Struthio camelus: one gene and its partner. The protein of the gene in region 2 purifies or fractionates together with the protein of the main gene of each other region. This does not show direct contact. Links are inferred from orthologs where the notes say so. Each region holds a gene or a part of one and is shown on either strand. Other genes may lie near its edges.

Region 1 (6,966 bases), on a different chromosome or scaffold from region 2:
AGGCAGCACGTACCTGGAGGACCAGTTTCTTTTTGGATAGACCAGGGTTGGGCGGTGTTGATGGTGGGAGAGGGCATTTAGGCTGGGATATTTGCTTTAGAAATAAAAGTCCTCTTAGGAGACATCCACCCAGGGGAATCAGGGTGACCAGCACCTTCCACAGGAGGAAGGGGGCAGGGTGGACAAGCAGCTGGCCTCAAGAGGCCCTCCTAGGCATATTTCCTCCATGTACATTTTACACATACCCACTAGCATTTCCATTCCTTTCCCAACCTCTGCCTGCTTCTCTCTTTACAGTTTGCAATCCTCCAGGGCTTCCCTTCCAGAGCAAATGGGAAGCTCTTCCTTCTCAGGGAGGGCTTCTCAAAGGGGCTGGTCACATCCACAGCCACTGTGGGGTGGCCCATGGGATCCAGAGGACTGCTGGGCCTTTGCTGCTCCCTTTGGGTGCTCTGCCCAGTCAGGCTGGCTTGCTCCTTCTTCCAGCCTGGAGCTGGAGTCACTCTGCTGGCCCCCATTGCTCCCACACATGGGAGCTCAAACCCAAGGTCTCTCCCTTTTGGATACTTGCCTGTAATTTGAGGTGTCCAAGAAAGGGTCATTTCCACTGGGGTCCCCAGGGAAGGCTAGTGCCAGCTCTGCCAGGGCACAAGCAAGGGCCAGCAAACACACAACCAGCAGGGCAGGGGCTCCACCAGCCAGGGCCTGGCCCAACCCCACAGGCCCAAGCAGGGCAAACCCAGGAGTCCAGACCAGCAGCAAGCTCAGGCTGAGGAGGCAGAGCCAAAGGCCAGCCTAGGAAGTCAGCCCACAGCTTGGGGTCTGGACCAGCCGCATCCCCAGCCAGGCACAGCTGTGGCCAGGCTGAGGAGCAACACCCCTACAATAGAGTTGATGGCCATAGACTGAACTTAAATGGGCACTGAGGGTGGGCAGGTGGAGGCCCCAGGTGATGCTGGTCAGGGCCATTAAGAAATTTTAGTGCCCTCAGGGCCCTGACAGGTCCCTCTTAAGCTGCTCTTGTCCCTATGCCAGGAAGCCCGGCTCCTGCCCAGCCCCATGGGGAGGGTGCCATCACTGAGGGCTTTCTCTCCAGCACAGAAGGACTGACCTCCACTAGGCCCTGTGATGGACACCAGATTTGCTGACTTGTAGGCTCACTCTGTTGATCCCGGCCCTGTTTGCCTTGCATGTGGTTTCCACGCACGGACCCCCAGGGGTGCACAGCCCCTCGGCAGCACAGGGAGGCGCCCCGGGCCCCGCGTCCTCTCGGCAGACGTGTTGGAGGGCCGTTCCTCCTTGTATTTCTTAGACCGTGGTTGAACGCTGTGGTGACCCCAGCTGCAGGTCTCCTAGTCCTGGGCCAAAGCCCATAGCAGCTGCATAACCCAAAGGGGCAACCTGATACACGTTTCCTTTGCCGGGTAGCACGGGCTGGGATTTGGGGTCATTTCGGTGGGTTACCTGGGGCAAGCGCCGCGCTGAAGGAGCAGGCGGGAGAAAGCCGCCGCGCAGCAAGCCAGCGTTGCTCGCCGCTATTGCTAGCGATTCGGGGACGAGCAGGATCCTTGGCCGCGCCGCCGCCGCCTGCGGGAGCGCGGACGGAAGGACGGGGCTCTGCGCTCCCAGGCCCCGGCTAGGCTCAGGGCAGGCGGCTCGGCCGCCGCGTGCAACGTGATGACCGCCTGAGACCTGAGCCGGGGCGATGTGACGCAGAGATGGACGGCGACTTTCCTTGTATCGGATGCTTCGACTTTCCGAACGACTCCCGCACCTCGCATGAAAGAAAATATAGAGAGGGCAGGCGGAGGACAGGGGCTCGGGTTACGGCACGCTCCTCTCTGCCTCCCTACTCTCCGTTATGAATTTGTTTCCATTTCCCCCCCCGCCGGTCTCGGCCTGAGCCACCGTCACGTCTAGCTCTGCACCCGCTCGCGCTCGCCTTCCCTCCGTGCCCCCGAAGCGCCGCCGGCTCCCGCAGCCTCGGCCGCTGGCCTCGCGCCCGCCCCGACAGCGGCGGATGCTCAGGGAAGACAGACAGACAGGCAGGCAGGCAGGCAGCACGCGGGGCGTAGTTGCTTCGCTCCTCGCTTCTCCATCCCCGCTTTTACCATCTGCCTCTTCCGCATTTTAATCGACTCCCCGCTCTCTCCTGCCCCGGCGTGTCCCCCCCGCAGCCCCGCTCTGCTCCCCTCTCCCGCTCCGCTGCTCTTTATGCATGAGCTCATTGCAGCTCGGAATAACCCCTCCGCTCTGCTGTCCTCCAACAAACAAGCTGACAGGGTAATGAATGGCTTCAGATGGTAATTAGCGGCGGAGCTGCTAATAATGAAATGCATTTGCATTTTAAGCGCTGCCGAGGAACAGCAAGACCCTGCCGCTGCTGCCCCCCCGCCGCGGGGGGAGCGCGCCCTCCGAACCCCTGCTCGCGATGCGGAAACGCTTTAGCGTGATCGCACCTCGTCTCGGAGGCTGCAAACGAGCCGAGTTTGTTAAGCAGCAATTGGGGGGGGGTGAAGCTGCCCGGGATGCAGCATCCGACCGGCGTGGCGCGTCCCGGCACCACGCTGCGCCCAAAACGCGGACCGCCGGCGGCAGGAGTTGGTCCCGGCCCAGGGAGCCTTGGGTGGGCTGGCTCAGCGCCAGGGACTCATCCTGCTGCAAGCCCCAGCCCCGGCTGCGTTCCAGCCTCCGAGGCGCGCTGCATCCGCGCCCGAGCTCTGCGTCCGCCTCGAGCAGCCCAGCGCGCCGGACTCCCGCAAGACGCGTGGCTTTTGTGCCGGAGCAATGTGTTTCTGGAGCTATTTCATCGCTTATGGAGATTTTTTTAATTTCCATGCCTATAAAGTTTATGTGTAAAGTTAACGAGAGCTGCTTTGCCGGTCCTTCGCTCTGAGCCGAGATGCTCTGTGAATGGTTGCCAAAATCCTGCCCATTTATTTTCCTAGTCTTTTAGCCTGAAGATGCATCTCTTAAAGGCAGCAGTTTCCATGAGAGGCTTAATCCATGGCAGCCTGCCGGAGAACGGAGCCGAGCGGCTTATGCAAGGATGTCACAAATATTCATCACATGTAAGGGGAAAAAAACAACATTGTGTTTCCCGGTGCGAGCGAGCGGTTCGCGTTGGAAACGTAGCGCCTAGGCAGGCTCACTGCCGCAGAGCGCCGGGCGGGACTTAGCGGGCGCTCCAAGCCTCCATCCGCCCCCGACGCCGGGTGTGAGCTTGGGCCAACGGCGTCACCTTCCCTGCCTCGGTTTCCCCTGTCTGCGCCAAAGGGATCCAGTCTCCGGCCTCTTTGGGTGCAGCAGCCTTCTCCCTGCAGACCTCGCCGCTAGGCTCTGCGCCCGCCCCGAACGTGGGTCCCTGCGGTGTCCCGAAGCCCCAGCGCTTGGACCCCTGGGTTAGGCAGGTTGTTTGGGGCCCGCAGAGACGTCCTGGCCGGGAAGGGGACCGGCCACGGCCTGCCGTCCCGCAGGTTTCACCTACGTTGGCATCAGGTCGAGTGATTTATTTACGTATTTTTCAAGCCCTGCCAGGGTGAAAACAATCCAGGGGCCTCCAGAGGCCGATAAGATTTGAGTGCAAGTCAATACGCGGGATGTCTTTCCAGTGTGCGATGATCCGCCGGGGGGAGAGGAGGGGACAGGCACGCCGGGAGGTGGCAAGGGCAGCCAAAGGGCCAGCCTCGGCCAGGGACACGGCCTCTTCCCGGGGAGCGGTTCAGGCTCAGCTCTGCGCCGGGCAGGCACGTTTTGGGGGCTCGTCGCTCCCTGGGCGCCCCCAGGGCGGCTTTGCCTGGCAGGCGGCCGCGGGCCGATCCCGAAGGCTGCCCAGCGCCCCGTCCCTGCGTTATCCACGCCGCCCCGTCGCAGCCAGCGCCGAGACGGCCGGCGCGGGGGGGGCGAAGCGACCAGGTTCGCTTTAAGGGGCAGGACTCGGGCGGCGCTGGGAAGCCGAGGGCGAGCGCTGGGCTCTGCCTTCCGCCTTCGCCGGGGCTCGCCGGGCTCCCCGCCGTCGCCCGCTCGCCGGCCCTGGGCGCTGGGGAGCCTCCGCCGGGCGCGGGGCTGGGAGGCTGAGCGAGGGGGGGGGGGAGGAGGAGGAGGAGGAGGGGAGGAAGGGGAGGGAGAGGGGGAGGATCTGCTAATTACACACAACGGCTCTGGGGGCTGCTGAAGTCCAGAATGAAGCAAAGAGCAGCAGAAGCGAGCGCTGCAGCGGGAGCGCAGGAGCCCAGGCATCGCCCAGCGCCGCCGCGAGGACGCAGGGGACACCCCGGGCACCCAGCAGCTCCGGCTCCCCGCAGGACAGCCTCCGGCACCGCCGCCGCGCCAGCTGCTAGCTCCTCCGCAGCCAGCCAAGGACAGCGGTAGGGGCTGGTGGTCCCGGGGGTGCCGCGTCAAACTCGACCTCCTCCGGGCGGGCGGCGGAGGGACCCGCGTCGTGGTGGCCGGGGGCTAGGTGCCCCCTCGGATCCGCGCTCCCCGCCGGCGAGGGATGGCTGCCGGAGGAGGGGGAGCCAAGCCCGTCGCCCAGTCCAGGATGGAGAACTTCCGAAAGGTCAGGACGTCGGAGGAGGAGAGCCCCTTGCCCTTCCCCGACCTGCCGCCCGGCGTGGTGGAGATGAAAGTGAAGGAGGGCAGCAAGATCAGGAACCTGATGGGCTTCGCCATGGCCCAGATGGAGCTGAAGGGCAGCCGGCAGATCGTCTTCAGCGGCTGCGGCAGGGCGGTCACCAAGACCATCACCTGCGTGGAGATCATGAAGAGGAAGCTGGGAGGCCTTCACCAGGTCACCAAGGTACGCTACAAAACCCTGCTGGAGGTGTGGGAGAACAAGGACCCGCTGCCCGGCAGCCCGGCGCAGAACCTCACCGTCCACAAGAACGTGCCCTCCATCTGCATCCTGCTCTCCCGGGACCCCCTGGATCCCACCCAGACGGGCTACCAGCCCCCGGAGCCCGGCGCGGGGCCGCGGGCGGAGGAGAGCCAGGCCGGGGCAGAGGCGCCCAGCTCGTCCGCCAAGGGGCTGAAGAGACCCCCGGCGCCTCCCCGCGAGGAGCTGGCGAGCAAGAAGGTGCAGGTAGAGGTCCCCGACGGCCCCCGGGGCGCCGGCACCGTGGACCTCCAGGCGGGCCACCACCACTGACTCCCCTGGCGCCCCTCGGCCCGGCGAGGGTGCTCGCCCCGCGGGGGCTGCCGCCGGGGCCGGGGGGAAGAGCAGCCAGCGCCCGCGTCTTGGACCCTCCGCGGGGCGCGGGAGCAGGCTGGGGCCGGCGGCGGGTGCTGGTCCCGGCCGGCGGCGGGTGCCGCGGGCCGCCGCAGCCCCTCTGCCCCGCCGGCTCTCCGTTGCACCACCGCCGGCCGGAACGGGGGGGGCCGCGGCGGGTCGGGGCGCGGGACAACCCTCCGGTCCCAAATTTGTTCTCCCCGCCACCACCCTCTGTCTCCAGCACCTCGGGTGTTTCCCCCTGCCCGGCGGGACGGCACCCCGGCCCCCCGCGCAGAGGAAAGCGACGGGGAGGGAGGGGTGGGAACCGGTTAGGGTGGCCTTGTGCTGACCACACGAGCAACGAGTTGCTCGGGTCTCAGCGCTGAGCTCCCCGGCATGCCAGGGGACGGGGCCGATTTGCAGGCTGCCGGCGGGGAACGCGGAGCCCGGGCAGGGCTCTCGCCAGCTCTCCGGGACGGCGCCGGCCCCGCCGCAGGAGCGGGAGCAGCCTTCGCCTTTCGGAGAGGTGCTCCCGCGGGTCCGGCGCCCGCGTGTCGTTGATGCGCGCTGAGATGTCTCCGACGTCAGGCGCGATGGCTTCGCTCAGAGCCCCTTGGAGCAACGCCTTCGTTATCCGAACGGCTTCAGTTACGCCCGGAGACGAGCTGCCAGGTTTATTAAAGCCGGGCTCAGCGCCTCGCGGCTCTGGGATTCGTCCCGAGTACGGCTCGCAAACGAGCAGCCGCCTCGGCTCGGTCCGGGCTCGCGTGGTTTTCGGTCGTCGTTTTTATTCTGCCCTCTGCTCCGAAGCGCCTCGAGCGGGTCCGCGCCGCCCCGGGCGTTTTATCTCCCGGAGGGCTGTTCGCGAAGGCACCCGGCTCCGCTCGGCTCAGGGCTGCGCCAGGCGAAGGCGAGGAGCAGGAGCAGGAGGAGGAGGAGGAGGAGGAGGAGGAGGAGGAGGAGGAGGAGGAAGCCGGGCGTTTTGTTTCGGGCGTTTTGTTTCGCCATGACCTTGTTATCTCCCCGAGCAGACAGCTGCTCCTCCGGCCCGAGGCCTGTGCTTATCTGCCCTGCCACAGATTGATTCCTTTCACTTATCTGCCGCCGTGTAATTGAATATTAATTCCCAGTTGTTGTTGTTTTATTTGCTTTTTAAGCCTTTTGTTTCGTTTTGTTTTCCCAGGCAGGGACAAAGCCGGGGGAGCGGGGGGGAAGTCACGAGACGGGGAAGCTTCCCCTAGCTTGGGAGTTGGTTTTCAGGGTCAGTGTCCTGCTCCGTTAAAAATCCAGTCTTCACTTCTCGGGGGAATACGAGTCCAGCCTCCCTCCCCTCCCAGATCTCTGCTCGGAAGATGCCAAAAGATGTGGTTTTGGGGACAGGGACGGCAGGGGCCGCGGGGCTGTAACTGTGCAGAGCTCCTCTGCTCTTTTTGGCGTTTTAAGTCTCTTTGTTTTGATGCAGAAAAAAGTTCCCGGGGCTCCGGGACTCGTGCGCGAAATCACGCCGAGGAAGCCCTGCCGCAGCGATCCTCTTGCACAGGACTCGGGATTTTGGGGGGCCGGCAGCGGCACGGCGTTGGGGCTGGCGATACTTTGCGCCTTGGGCGAGGACCGCTGCTGTCTCCGCAAGGAGCGGGGGCCGGCACAGCTTGGCGGCTCGCTCTTCGCGTTCGTACCCCGCAGCAGCGCCGACTCCTGTTCTGCACGTATCTTGTGCTCAAAAGATATGAAGAAATAAAACGCTTTAAAACCACTGT
Region 2 (7,692 bases):
GAATAGCTGATAATTCTAAGGTCTTTCCTAATGAGACTGCATTACATATTCCTTTTAGTATGATTTGCAAATATTTAACATATGTACCTGAAAAAGATATTAGAAATCATGTCTTAGGCACACAGAATTAGGTTTTTATTCATCGTAAGAAATAAAAATTTTGCATTATTATGCACCAAGTGTAGATTAAATTCCTTTCGCACATTCTGAAACTGGTACTCAATCCAGACTTGGCCTCCAGGACTGCACTAGGCCTAATAGGAAAGCCCTGACTTAAGTCAGCCTATGCAACTGTCTTCAGCAGTGGCTCCTGCTATGGTCTAGTCAGGGTTTTAGTATCACACCAGCAAAGTTGGTAATTCTTCCTCTTGCTCCTTAAATTGTTTTCCACGAGCACAGGTGTTCTTTTCTAGTATCTTCTAAGTCTCAAATAAGACTTGCATAAACACATTTTTGTTATAGCAATAAACAATGTAAGCATGATACATGTAAGCTGGTGCAGTAAATTACAGTACACACTTCCCTGATATCGGCATTTAAATCAATATTGAACGTTAAATAACAAAAGTCTAAAGTTAGCTTCCTAAGTTACAGAAATAAGTAGATAAATTTTCAGGAGTGAAAAGAACCTAACAGCAGGAAAAGGAAGTTTAAAAGGGCATTGAAGTCCATATTTAAAGATTAGCTTATATTCAACTCTTTCAGTAAAGTCCTGGTTAGGATTTCAGGCACAACTTGAGATACGGTTCTCAGGCAGCTCAGGTTAACGCACATGGACTGAAGAGGGCCCAGCCAGCCATTGCCACCATCCCACTCACTGCATCAAGACTAGTGCTAGAGGTAACATGTGGCAATACAGTTCAGGGGCTGCTCTACTGAAAATTAACCTGCGTCGGGGGAGAGGAGTTAAAAAAACAAAACAAACAAACAAAAAACAGTTTTCAGATTGACTGTTTTTTTAAACAAGCTCATCACATTATCCCACAAATGCTTCCACTGAGGATATGAGGAAAGAAGGACAGAGACACAGCCAGGAGCAGATTCACCCTCAATTTAAATGAATTTAAAATGGCACAGAACCTCACTCTTCAGTTTTAAGTAAGCACGAAGCTGAAATTTTATCTTCAGCAGCAATACCATTTCTGTTGGCTTAACCAGTCCCCTCTCAGCCACATATCATGTAGCAATGCAGCACTTCAAACGAAAAATTAATTTGGGGGAAAATAAAAATTAATTTTTACGTAGAATGATTCCCTGATCTATGTTCTCCACATGGCTGCACTAACAGCTGAGCAAGCACCATGCACACAATTAGGTGAGGCGGGAAGGAAACAGCCAGGAGAGAGGGACAGAGGCCGCTTCAGTAAACAAATTTGTGTGGAACTACAGTCTAGTCAACTGTGGGAAAGTAACTTGACAGCAACATATAACAGTGATATAACACACACAACCTTTGCCAAGTAAGTTAGCCTAAAAATGAAGGAAAACATATCTTAAGATCAAAATGGAAGAGTGTTTCCAAAGACAATGACTGATTTATGTTACTATCAGAAGAAGAACTACATTATTTCAGGTACTACACAGGTCCATGGTTTCTAACTCCTATTTAGAATTCTGTTTTCCTCATTTTTACAAAAAACACCCTAAGATACTAAGATACTCACTAACACTAGAGAAGAACGCTAGCTGGGCGAAAGTGCACGCTATTCAAAGGGAAAGAAAATTCTAACCATGTAGTCTTTACAAAGGTCAGTCAGTTCCTCACAAAGTCAGAAAACTGCGCTTAATCTGATAGTACTCCTATAAAGATATCCCCAAATCTTCAAATAGGGCTGACTGTTATTTGCAATGTCATTCTGTCTGCTTACAAACGCTTCAGTCACCTAAATATACAGAGAAAGAGGCTGCAGTGACACTTACCCATTTTTTATTAAACCAGAAAGACACAATTTGTCAACATTTGAAGTCCTCAGAGTAAAAATTCCTGCTCTTGCACTTGTTTCCCCCCTCCCCCTAAAACAAAATAGCTAAAATATCAAAATGTGAAATGAGAAAAAAATAGAAGTCTGATTGAGGCATATGGTACAGGGCACCGGCTGGAACACACAGACTGCATCTTCCGGCATTCAGCTTGACCGGATCCTTCAGCCTTCAGATGCTAAAAGTTAAATGTTCTAGCAATGACCTAGCCGGACTGCCCTTTTAGGGAGACGTCTTGCTGCCTCTTGCCACTACCTTTTCACGGATACAGAGACCACAAGGGCCATAAGGAAAGTGGGTTAGACGTGCTGAGCTGGCAGACAAATAGCGCGTTTACTATAGGACCAGCAAGCTAAACCAGGTCCTTCGGCGGCTCCTCGATCTGACAGGGAGAGAAGGGAGGTCACTTGTATCACCAAAACTGGCTTTAAGCCGCAGGGGGAGGGTGGGGATTGGTAACGCAACCGGAGGGAGGACACAGGAAAAACGCGTGTTAAGAGCCGCGCTGCACAACCGCGGCTGAAGGAGCCGCCGAAAGAGGGCGAAGCGCAGGGTGGCAGCGCCGCGCGGGGGCGGGGCGGGGCGGCGCGGGGCGGGGCCGCGGCCCCTCCCCCTCCGGATAACGGCGCACGCGCCGGGTGCCCGTAGGCGGACGACGCGGCGGGGGGGCAGGGAACCGACGCGGCGGGGGGGGGCACCTCCCGTGCCGGGGCAGCCGCGGCCCGTACCCACGCGCCGCGGACAGCCGTACCTGGCGGCGGGCAGGCCCTGCTGCCGCCGGCCGCGAAGGGCCCGGGCTCGGCGGGCAGCGTCACGCTGGCCGGCTGGTTTCTCATCTTCTTGGCCCGCTTCTTCTCCCTCGCCCCGGACATCTCTGGCCGCGCTGTCCTGTCCCGCTCCCTTCGACAGGCCCGAGGCGCCCGGCGGGGGCTGCCGGTCCCTGCGGGACCGAGAGAGGCGGGCGGGAGTCACTGGGCGGTGCAGCGCCCGGCCGATCCCCTCAGCAGCCCGCACCCGCCGCACGCGGCCGCGCCAGCCCCAGCAGCGCGCATGCGCGCGGCGCCGGCGGCCTCAGCAGGACTACATCTCCCACAACGCCTTGCGGGCGGGGCGCATGCGCGCGACGGTGCCGGTGGCTTCAGCAGGACTACATGTCCCAGAACACCCTGCGAGCGGGGCGCATGCGCGCGGCGGCGCTGCGGGTTGGCCCTCGCGGATTAGGAGGGAGGGAGGGAGGTCGCGGTGCTCGGGGCGTCGGGGAGAAGGTGTGAGGGGCCAGTTGGCTGATGACATGGCTGCCGTGATGAGGAGGATAATCAGCACGGCTAAAGCGCCCGCTGCGATGGGTCCCTACAGGTATACCGCAGCGAGGGGGAGAAGCAGGAGAGAGAGGGAGCAGGTTTTACCGTTAGGGTGTCTAGCAGGTGGCGGGGGGTGGGTCGGGCTGCCCCGCGGCGTGCGGAGGCCGGGGGCCTTCCCCGGGAGTGGATCCCAGCCGTTGTAAGCGAGGTTTGTAAGCGTCTGCCGGAAGGATTTGGACGTGATTTTGAAATCGGTGACAGGCAGCGTGTGGGAAAAAGAATTGATTCCTCACGAAAAAAGAAACCAAAAAGTGCTCAGAAGGCAGGTGTTTTATAGGCAGGTCAGCAGTGAGTCTGCGCTCCGGAGGGGTTGGGGGGTGAGCGTTAAATCCGCTCGAGGGCGTGCTTGGCGGTAAGGGAGCTGACGGACTGGGAACTGCGAGTCTTCTCCTACTTAGTGTGTGCAGCAAGGCCTTGTAATGCTTTTCAGCGTCAAAGCTGGTGGGTGCAAAAATAAACAGGATGTTGTTAGGTGTTTTCTCAAAGAACCTGTCAGCTGCAACCGTTCAGAACGTAATTTAAAAAAATGCCAATTTTAATTGGAGAAAATTTCCTCTTTGATACTTGGATAAGTGGTCAGTAAATATTGTGCACTATTACTTTGAAGGCACTGAGAGATTTTCTTAACAGCATTTTCTAAGAACTTTTAATGCTGCATTCTGACTCCTTCCTCATTGTAAATGCAGTCTCGTTAGATTTTAAGTTTTCTACTTTTGTGCCTTCCAGATGCTTTCTTTTTTTTGCCTCAAGTACTTTGAAATTGCACTTTCTGAACTTTGAACTTCTTTTTTTTTTTTTGTGGAAACTATACAGATAGAGAAATACAACATCTAGAAGCAGAAACAGCATTGTTACGTGAAGGAAACTACCGTTACTGTTCTGTAAACAGAATTGTTGGTGGATTGCAGTGAGGGATTTGGCATTTATTGTGGTTAGAGGAACATCTAAAACGTGGGACAGCAAGAATTCTTCCACTGCGTACATAATAACTGGCCTATCCTTCACCATAGCCCTCCCCTTCTGTTGTAGATTAACTGCGTTCTGACTTTTTTTGCTTGTTGGTGGTTTTTAATGAAATGCTGCTTGTTGTGCAGCCTGTAACTGTTTTCACAGGTCTTTCATTAACTTAATGTATCTGATTCCAGTAAACTTCTCAAAGTCCAGTGAGCAAAAGTTGCACAAGAAATCACTGCTATGTTTCTACCGTGGAATCTGAGCATGGTAACAGAGGAATGAGGGCTTAAATATCAATGAAGAGTTGGGATGTATGGGTGACATTCTTCATTCTGCTCCAGCCCTTCAGCGTGCTTTGTGGTGACCTATTTTTACCATGTCTTTGTATTTCTGTTACCTCATTTAATTTCCAGTAATCTGATATATATTTGTATAAAAACATGTATACAGCAGAGAAGTTGTTCATGTATTAACAATCCTTTCTGTTTAAAAAATAATCTGATTAACTTTTGAGCATGTTTCTTAGCTCCACCTCTCTGATGCATGATGTTTTCCTAAGGTCATAATATCCATCTAGTTATGCACTTCGGTAAACTGAAATCTGAATGGCTTTAGACACGTTCTTAAATCTTTGCTGTATCAGAGATTAAAGAGTAGCTACGATTGCCCCTAGTTATAGGATACATCTTCAGGGGATGCTACTGATAAGCATAGGAGGAGGTGAGGAGCAGAGAATGGGATTACTGTAAGTGCTCATCTGACAGTGTTTTCAGAAAGCTTCTGCATTTTTTTCCTAATTATTCATGATTTAGGACTGTCCAAAGACCTCTGTTGTGCTAAATGCTTCATCGTGTTGTTTCCTGTATAATAAGCAGTGCAAGACAACCTCTGTTTTGGAGAGCTGCTATCTTGCTACTGCATGGAGAACCTGGCATCAAACTGAAGCAGAAGTTTGTGGTCTAACAGGCATGTGCCTCAGACAAAGCAGGATGTTCTGGGAAAGAAAACAAAATAAAAGCAGAGTCTATGTTGTGTTTGTATGCACGTTCTCTATCAACAAGATTGCATCAAGTAGAAAAACTTTCTTTTGCCAGTTTCTCTTCTTTACATTGTGTAGTTTTATCATGTACTCCTGCTTGGTAAGCTCCTAATGTCAGAGAGAGTAATCATCACATAAAGTATTTCACTACATCAGATAAGTTACTAGCTCTTTCTTTTTCCCCCTTATGAAATTGTAGGAGAATGCGGGACAGAGGTAAAAGGAAAGATGGGAGTGATGACACTGTTTAGATTGCCTAACCTTAATCATTTTACTGAGCACCTAAATTAGGTCAGGCTCCCTGTGAAGTCAACGGAGAGAGCAATCTAGAGAAGAAATCTGTTAGAAGTGCTCTCTGAAGGAGTCCCTTTCTTCGTCTATTGACTTTATAGGGAAACTAACCTTCTAATTGAGATGCGTCACGTAGGTATCTGATTCTAGCCTGTATAATGTAAGAGGCTTGTTGAACTATCAGAACAATAACTTTTTTTCTGGGGTGGGAAGAGATAAGAAAAATTATGTTGCCCCACCGCAAACCTTTCGAAAGGAGCCTTTCTCTAGTTTTCTTGCAAATTATTTTTAATTACCAGCTGAAGAGGAGTAAATTATGTCTATTGCATAATGTTTGCTAGGTGGTTTGAATCTTGGTTTTAATCTTTTAATCTCTTTGTGATAATTAAGAGACTTTACCAATGGCCAACTCTACTTCAGCAGAAATGGACCTGACACTTTATATAAAGTGTTTTTCAGATAGTTTGAATTTTGCAATCGTCTGAACTAACTCTGCCAACAGGACACCCAGGTTATTTGTTCAGAGGAGACTGATTGTGCTGGGAATGGAGTGATCAGGGTGCTTTTCTGACTGTCCAAATTCATGACTCTGGAGAAATACTGCCAGAGAACCAGTGTTATTTGGGCAGATGCAAGAAACATTTTAATTATTCTGCCTCCCCTCTGGATTAGCTCTAGTCTGGAAGCTATGCATCTATGTTAGTGTTGCGTTGCTGTGCTAGTGCCTTGCACCTTTTTGAGACAAGGCCTATTATTGCATACATAAAGCCATGCTAATGTGGATGTATGCTTCCATAGGTGGCTCAATCCTAGCGCTTCCAAAGCATAAGCAGAGTGAGTATATGACTGTTCAACTTGTTCATGTATAACCTAAGTCCTGTATCTTGAGATGCTATAAATTACTGAAGAGAATGCAAAGTGTCCATACAGGAGACTACTTGCAGAGATGGGTAGCTAAATAGCTAAATGTTTTGACTGGGGAAAAATATTTCTGAATGAGCTCTCAAAATGTCTTGTCCTTTTTTTTTTTTTTTTTTTTTTTTTTTTTTTTCCTCCCAGCCAAGCAGTACTGGTAGATAGGACCATGTATATTGCAGGACAGATAGGTATAGAACCTTCCAGTGGGCAGCTTGTCTCCGGAGGGGCAAAGGAGGAAGCTAAACAGGTAAGATGTCTTCTAGCAATATGCTTGCTGTGGAGTTGGCATGTGCTCAGTTAAAGGTGAACCCATGAGGAATGGGAGAGCCTTAGGGAACAACCTTCCACATTCTCCAAAATGAGGGAAAACCAGGAGGAAAAATTCTATCCCATCCCTGTCATTCGTCACCCGAACAGCTTGGAGGCCAAGGCAGGAATCTGTATTTCATACAGGAGAGAGTCAATGAACAAAGAACTGGACCCCAGTAAGAAACCTGGCTTTCGGTTGAGGGAAGAGGATTTATTTCCTCAGGAGCAAAGAGGGTGCGTGGAGTAATAGTATGAGATAGGGCTGCATCTTACATTTGTATCTTTTGAGTGGGCAGTTCAATACTGGGGGTTTATAAGAAGTTCCTTTTTATTATTTTACTTTTTCATCTATGGTTTTGCTTGCCCACTGATGACTGTTGAAGATTACCTGGGTAAACTCTTAACTAAACTCTTAACTATAACCATGGATGTAGTCACGTTGCAACACCCACTTATCTAAATACAGCCAAGCTGTACTTAAAAGATTTTTCTCATTTCTTGATAGGCCCTAAAAAACATGGGAGAAATCCTGAAAGCTGCAGGCTGTGACTACTGCAATGGTAAGTGCTGCTGTGGTGCTGGCAGGCAAGTAATGTTTTTACCTGGATTATTTAAAAAAAAAAAAAAAAAAAGGTGACCTTTAAAGCTGTTTGATAACAACTGCTCATTTAGCAAAAGCTGGAGGAGACAAAAGGTGACAGGAGTCTGGATTAAAAAAAATCTACATGCAAATCTGCTTTATGTGATGGATATCAATAAGTATCTGCCTTTTGCTGGAAGTTGCTGCCTGTGGTACTAATACTTTAACTCCTAACTGAGGAAGCTAAGCTGTAGATTGAG

Evidence for each region.
Region 1: the proteins of POP1 (region 2) and RPP25 purify together in Homo sapiens (affinity purification with mass spectrometry; 3 studies listed by BioGRID and IntAct, counting the BioPlex papers as one, with this or other methods). This does not show direct contact. The link is inferred for Struthio camelus from reciprocal best matches to the Homo sapiens genes POP1 and RPP25.

The regions. Positions count from the first base shown.
Region 1 is NC_090953.1:23,324,803-23,331,768, forward strand, and holds RPP25 (ribonuclease P protein subunit p25), read left to right. Parts: upstream 1-4,137; 5' UTR 4,138-4,495; coding exon 4,496-5,146; 3' UTR 5,147-6,159; downstream 6,160-6,966. UniProt on the Homo sapiens protein: Component of ribonuclease P, a ribonucleoprotein complex that generates mature tRNA molecules by cleaving their 5'-ends. Also a component of the MRP ribonuclease complex, which cleaves pre-rRNA sequences.
Region 2 is NC_090943.1:147,514,615-147,522,306, forward strand, and holds the start of POP1 (ribonucleases P/MRP protein subunit POP1), read right to left. Parts: upstream 3,077-7,692; 5' UTR 2,853-3,076; coding exon 2,732-2,852; intron 1-2,731. Other genes in the region: RIDA (2-iminobutanoate/2-iminopropanoate deaminase), read left to right, coding at 3,272-3,336, 6,685-6,790, 7,358-7,412. UniProt on the Homo sapiens protein: Component of ribonuclease P, a ribonucleoprotein complex that generates mature tRNA molecules by cleaving their 5'-ends. Also a component of the MRP ribonuclease complex, which cleaves pre-rRNA sequences.